2 linked regions of the Mus musculus genome follow. The protein of the gene in region 2 purifies or fractionates together with the protein of the main gene of each other region. This does not show direct contact. Links are inferred from orthologs where the notes say so. Each region holds a gene or a part of one and is shown on either strand. Other genes may lie near its edges.

Evidence for each region.
Region 1: the proteins of Tubb5 (region 2) and Arl2 purify together in Homo sapiens (co-immunoprecipitation; 3 studies listed by BioGRID and IntAct, counting the BioPlex papers as one, with this or other methods). This does not show direct contact. The link is inferred for Mus musculus from reciprocal best matches to the Homo sapiens genes TUBB and ARL2.

What each region holds. Positions count from the first base shown.
Region 1 is NC_000085.6:6,138,030-6,142,615, forward strand, and holds the start of Arl2 (ADP-ribosylation factor-like protein 2), read right to left. Parts: upstream 3,109-4,586; 5' UTR 3,073-3,108; coding exon 3,008-3,072; exon of another isoform or gene 1,601-3,007; intron 1-1,600. UniProt on the Homo sapiens protein: Small GTP-binding protein which cycles between an inactive GDP-bound and an active GTP-bound form, and the rate of cycling is regulated by guanine nucleotide exchange factors (GEF) and GTPase-activating proteins (GAP).
Region 2 is NC_000083.6:35,833,168-35,835,565, forward strand, and holds the end of Tubb5 (tubulin beta-5 chain), read right to left. Parts: coding exon 1,815-2,398; 3' UTR 753-1,814; downstream 1-752. UniProt on the Homo sapiens protein: Tubulin is the major constituent of microtubules, a cylinder consisting of laterally associated linear protofilaments composed of alpha- and beta-tubulin heterodimers.

The sequences.
Region 1 (4,586 bases), on a different chromosome or scaffold from region 2:
AATAACTTAATTTACGCATCAAATATTGAGTGCCTATTAAGTGCCAGGCCCCCTCTGATGTTGGGGGACAAACTCATCACCCTTATGAAGCTTAAACACTAGCAAAAGTCTAAGTAATGGGGCTGGAGAGATGGCTCAGCAGTAAAGAGCACATGTTGCTCTTATAGAAGACCTGGGTTCAGTTCCCAGCATCCACCTGGTGGTTCACAACCAAATGCTGACCTCTGTGGGCACCAGCCACTCACCCCAGTGTACAGACAAAGTTCTCACATCCATAAATAAGTGTTAAAAAATTAAAGACTAGGGCTGGTGAGATGGCTCAGTGGGTAAGAGCACCCGACTGCTCTTCCGAAGGTCCGGAGTTCAAATCCCAGCAACCACATGGTGGCTCACAACCATCCGTAAGGAGATCTGACGCCCTCTTCTGGAGTGTCTGAAGACAGCTACAGTGTACTTACATATAATAAATAAATAAATCTTTAAAAAAAAAAAATTAAAGACTAAATAAAGCAGAAGAGAAGGTTGGGTACTTGGAACCAGTGAAGGACATTCCTGGAAGGAATGGCTTTCAACTTAAGATACCAGACAAGGCTCTGTGGGGTCTTGAGGCCCAAAACAGATGGGCCCAGCCTTCTGAAGGACCAAGTAAAGGGCAAGTATCTAGAGGTGGCAACCACCTTCATCTGTCTCTGGAATGATCCACAGCCTCCGTTGCAGAGAACAAGCCAATAGGTGAGCTCAACCGCAGGTGAGACTGTGGGGCAGCCAAAGCCTGAGCGGAGGGGAGAAGGGACAGGCTCTACATTTAGGACCTCTTCCTACTCACTTGACTCTGGCTCTGTGACTCCCACCTTTGAGAGGCACGGGTGAATACCTTCCACCTTCTGCAGCCCAACTCTCACCTTGGAAAGCCAGCAGATTGTCTTGTCAATCCAACAACATCCACTCTTCCATCCCTTCTCCTCTCATCACCAAACTCTCGCCTCACGCCTCGAGTGCTGCGCACTACTGCAGCAGAACCTGTCTCCACCCACTCCCCCACCATCTGCTGAGTCGGCCACAGCTTCCTCTGGGGTGCATCCTGGGAACAGGTGTTATACTCCATTGTACCAACTTCCATCTTTTGGCTTGTATTGTTTTTGTTTGTTTGTTTGTTTTCTTTTGTTTTGTTTTTTTTGTCTGGAACTCTATGTAACGCAAACTGGCCTCAAACTTGTCAAAGTTCTCCAGCCTCTGCCTCTTGAGTGCCAGAACTACAGGCATGTAACACCATGTTGGACTTTTCCTGCATTTTGGTTTTTTTTTTTTTTGAGACAAGGTCTATGTAGCCTTGGCCGGCCTGGAACTTGCTCTGTAGACCGGGTTGGACTCAAGCCCGTAGATTCACCTGCCTTTACCTTCTGAACGCTGGCATTCGAGGTGTTCGATACCATGCTCATTTTTTGTTTGCTTAGAATATTTTGAGTTTTTGCCTACACGAGGACCTCAGGACTGAAGTTACACAAGGCTGTGAAGCACCAAGTGGGTACTGGGCACTGAACCCCTGTTCCCTGGTTCTTCACCACTGCACCAGTTTTACTTAGCCTCTTGCTTTCTACAGGTCTACTGTTAGCAGACTGGCTCCTGATGCTTCCTGAAGCCTCACTTTGCCAGGTAGGTCTCCGAAGACCCCCTTACTGCTCTCCACTGGCCGGGTGGCCCAGCTTCTGCTCTGCTCCGGGCGCTGCTGCTCTTTCCTTGGCCCTCTCCCAGACCCCATCCTGTTACCCTCATCTGACTTCACACAAGCGTCTACACCTGGGTCTCAGCACTCCCCAGCTGGGCCATCCCATGATCGTTTCTAGGCTGATGGCTGCTACCTACCTGCCCAACAGTCAGGGTTGGTGTCTTCCCAGGGACATGCGTCTCTCATCTCAGCAAGTGGCTCCTTGTCCTTCTGAACACTCTGGCCAGAGACCAGTTCATGCTTGGCTACATCTCCCTCATTGTCTTCTCCCATTCAGCAGCAAGTCATAATACTCTCCTACTACCACCATGGTCTAAGCCACCATCCTGTGCTCCCTTCATAGTCCAGCTGCCTAAATGGCCCCAGCCCATGGGCTCTCCCTCTCTCCAGCTCTTTCCTTCTCAACCTTTCTTGAACATGCCTGTCTTATCCTCCTCCAGGGCCTTCGCACTTGCAGGTCCTCTGCTTACGTTTTCCCAGCTCTCTCTACCTCCTTGTGGACTCTATTCTTCTCATCCTACACTACATATCTTACTTGCTTTATCAATTTTTTCTCCCCTTTCATCACAGAATATCTGAAATGAAGCCTTTTTCGCTTCCCTGTTTTACCGAATTCCCTAACATAGGTGCTTGGAGGTCATCTAATGAGTGTCTTTCTCAGAATTGTCTAAAACACGCACGAGTGGTAAAGTTCTACGTGCACATTAAATTTCCTTTTCTCCCTCTGCTACTTTGTGGATCGCAGATGCCTAGGTGGCCCGGCACAGTGCAAGACGGGTGATGCAGGTGCCAGTTAATGCGGTGAAAGGTCGCTGGTGGCCTTAAGTGACAGCGGGACCTGTGGCCAACCGAGTCCACGCCTACTCGCAGGAGCCTAGGCGGTCCTCGAGACCCTGGGATTCCGACCCTAAGGGAAGCGCCAAGGCCTACACCCGTAGATGAAGGGGAGGGGGTCAGCGCCAGGGAGGAGCAGGGCCCACGCTCGGGCCAGCCCGAGGCAGCGTGACGTCCGAGTCACCACCACTGCGTCGCGCCTCGCAGTGATACTGGAGTCCCAAGTCTAGGCCGGGCCTTGAGACCACCGGGCTGCCTTCTGCACGCCAACCCCCACCCCGCAGAGTGGTACGGCCCTCCCCGGCCCCGCGCCGAGCAGTGGTAGCGCCGCGTGCGTGACGCACCACCGGCAATAGGTACCCACGGCGGCCGCGCCCCCCCACGCCCGGCTCCGCCCACCCGGCGGGCCCCGCTACCCTCGCGACCGCTCTAGCGCTCGGAGGATACAGCATGAGCAGCCGCAGCTCTCGCTCTTTCTGCTTCATCTTCTTCAGAATGGTCAGAAGCCCCATGATCCCGTAGCCCCCTCCCGGCCGCCGTTTCTTCTAGTCCCGGGACCCCGCTCCCGTCTCCTATTGGCCAGCCTGGCGCTTGTGGCCGCCCTCGTTGTCACGTGACCACAGGAGTGCAGGGCGTCGCCCCCTAGAGGCGCTGCGGCGACTTTGAAGCCTGCTGCGTTAACCCTTGTCGGGAAGGCAGAGGGTTGGTGGGGACAAGGGAGAAGTCCCTAAGCCTTCCGACTCCGAGGCCTCGGTCGGATGCCAGACAGAGGCTGACTTTCTCGAGCAGTATCTCGTCTGGGTAGGGAGTAGCCGCGAAGAGATTCTGAGCTAGGAGTCGGAATCTGGTTCCACAAAGAGCTGACGAATCATCCGGGGACTGTAATACGGTTCCCACCAGTGCATCTTGTGACTTCCATTCATTTACCAGTGACGGAAAACCGTTGGTCCTGGTCCGGGACTCTGTCGGAAATGGCTCTGTGCGTTCACTTGAGGATGATGACTCCCCCTAGGGGCCATTTCTAAATGTGCGGACAGTATGGCCTCCTTGGGTTGTTTAGAGTTCCAAGCTCCCCGCAATGCAGGGACCAGACCCGCACAAAGGATTGAGTGCTATCTAGGACCCTATCAGGTTGAGACGCTCTATCCCAACTGTTAGGATAAAACTGGCAGGGCAGAGCCTGTCTCAAAAAACAACGATAAAAAACCTGAAGCCCACCTGGTGCTTAGCCTCATGGCTGCTGGCATGTACTAGCTGTACAATCAGATTATCTTCAGTAAATGACTTTGACAAGAGTTCTTTAAAAAAAATTTTTTTTTCTTTGCTGGTTGTGTTGGCACATATCTTTAATTCCAATGCCTGGGTGGCATAGACAAGTGGATCTCTGTGAGTTTGAGGGCAGCCTGGTCTGTATATATATTGAGGACAGAAAGGGCTACACATCTGAGACCCTGTCTCAAAACAATCATCATTGTTGTGTGTAAACTCTGTATGTGTGTGTGTGTGTGTGTGTGTGTGCGCGCGCGCGTGTCTGCACATACCACTGGAGATCAGAGGACAACTTTGTGGAGCTGATTCTCACACTTTTTTTTTAAGATTAATTTATATGTAAGTACACTGTAGCTGTCTTCAGACCCCTTAGAAGAGGGCATCAGATCTCATTATAGGTTGTTGTGAGCCACCGGTGTGGTTGCTGAGATTTGAACTCAGGTTAAGAGCAGTCAGTGCTCTTAACCGCTGAGCCATCTCTCCAGCCCCGATTGTCGCACTTTTATGTGGGTTCCAGGCAGGGAATTTAGCATCAGACTTTCTCAGCAAGTTTTTTTTTTTTTTTTTTTTTTTTTTTTTTTTTTTTTTTAATTGGTGAGATTTCTCACTGGCCCAAAGAGTTAGTTTCTCTTTTTTTGTTTTTTGTTTGTTTTTGCTTTTTCCGAGACAGGGGTTTTCTCTGTGTAGGTTTTTCTCTCTTTCTTTCTGGCTGTCCTGGAACTCACTCTGTAGACCAGGCTGGCCTCGAACTCAGAAA
Region 2 (2,398 bases):
GAGTCTCAAACTTAGAATGGTGTGACTACAGGTCACAGGTTAACCCCAGAGGGATGTGGAATGTGTTGGGAGGGTTGCTGATGGGGTGTCAGGTGCTATTTTCAAGATTGTGGGCAGCTTTGGACCCACAATCTTCGATTGAAAGCTGGCATTAGAGGTTTGTCCAATCGAAATACCTAGAGAGCTGGGGATGTCACTCAGTGGTCCCCAGCCCTGAAACTGCTAGGCATGCCACATGTACTATCTCAGCTATTAGAAAGGCAGGGGTAGGAGTCTCACCTAATTAGGGACAACCTTGGTGTACTGGCTAGTTTTGTGTCAACTTGACACAGGCTGGAGTTATCAGAGAAAGGAGCTTCCGTTGCGAAAATGCCAACTGTAAGACATTTCCTCAATTAGTGATCAAGGGGGTAAGGGCCCCTTGTGGGTGGGACCATCACTGGGCTGGTAGTATTGGGATCTGTTAGAGAGCAGGCTGAGTAGGCCAGGGGAAGCAAGCCAGTAAGAAACATCGCTCCATTGGCTTCCTGCCATGCTTGAGTTCCAGTCCTGACTTTCTTTGGTGATGAACAGCAGTGTGGAAATGTAAGCTGAATAAACCCTTTCCTCCCCAGCTGCATCTTGGTCATGATGCTTGTGCAGTAATAGGTAAAATCCTGACTAAGACACTTGGGAACAGTATAATTCAACCTGGGACCGGTTCCTCCACCAGCAGCTTTAACTACCCCTGAATGAGCACACAGCCTCACAGCCTTTTTCCAATTCCCATTTATTTTTGGCTCTGGGGCGATGTCAACTTTTCAATATGAAAAAAAAAAAAAAAGCAGGTACAACACGAAATAGAAAGGTAGGAAATGACCAAGCCAAGGGCAGGAGGAGCATGGGGCAGAGGTGGTGACAGCCCATCTGGGCAGTGTCTGAAAGACCCAGGTGGAAACATACTTTCCCAAGTGTGGAGTTTCAGCGGGAATTGGGAGTGTTCAGAGACCAAGACCAAGACCTTGCCGCACCCCCAACCCCCATCTCTCCGAGAAAGGAGAACCAATACAGGGAAGACACTTCCAATGGCAGATTTGGCTCAGGACAGCTGGGAGGATATAAATGGAGATAATACTGTTAATACCTCTCCTGAGGCTGAGAGATGAGGCAGGAGAAAAACAAAACAAAGCCCTGCTGACTGAAAGCATAGGTGGATTCTAAATGGCCCTGACTGGAAAACCCCACCCCCTTCTCTTCCTGGTGGTCTCTACCTAGCATCCCTGATCCACTACTTTGCTTTAAGATGATGGTTACTATCCGAGTTCTTAGAATTGGGCTGGGTTCTACACAGGATCTGGAGCAGACCTCAGGTTTCTGGAGAATATTCTGGAATATTAACTGGACAGTCAAATAATAATTTAAAAAAATGGATACTTGTTGGGTGATAGTGGCACACGCCTTTAATCCCAACACTTGGGAGGCAGAGGCAGGCGGATTTCTGAGTTCCAGGACAGCCTGGGCTATATATACAGAGAAACCCTGTCTGGAAAAACCAAAAAAAAAAAAAAAAAAAAAAAAAAGATACCAGTAGGAAGCACAGGGTAACAACCAGAATGTCAGAAATCTAAGTTTGTCAGAGTGGAAAGAGAAAGGAGACATTCCACAAACAAATATTTATTGAGTGCCTGCCATGTGCCAGGCACCATTTACCCCCAATGAGAAAACAGAACAAAACAAATACAAGACAGAGGCAGCAGAAAGAAACTGGAGGACAAAGGGCAGTTGGAGAAAGCTGAGGGATCTAAGCAGCCTGAGCTGATGCAGGGCTCTCTGCCTTAGGCCTCCTCTTCTGCCTCCTCTCCGAAATCCTCTTCCTCTTCCGCGGTGGCATCCTGGTACTGCTGGTACTCAGAGACGAGGTCGTTCATGTTGCTCTCAGCTTCGGTGAACTCCATCTCGTCCATGCCCTCACCCGTATACCAGTGGAGGAAAGCCTTCCGGCGGAACATAGCCGTAAACTGCTCAGAGATGCGCTTGAAGAGCTCCTGGATGGCTGTGCTGTTTCCAATGAAGGTGACTGCCATCTTGAGGCCACGCGGTGGGATGTCACAGACAGCTGTCTTGACATTGTTGGGGATCCATTCCACGAAGTAGCTGCTATTCTTGTTCTGCACGTTGAGCATCTGCTCATCCACCTCCTTCATGGACATCCGTCCACGGAAGACGGCGGCAACTGTGAGGTACCGGCCGTGGCGCGGGTCGCAGGCGGCCATCATGTTCTTGGCATCGAAGACCTGCTGGGTAAGTTCAGGCACAGTGAGGGCCCGGTACTGCTGGCTTCCACGGCTGGTGAGAGGGGCAAAGCCAGGCATGAAGAAGTGGAGACGTGGGAATGGCACCATGTTGACAGCCAGCTTTC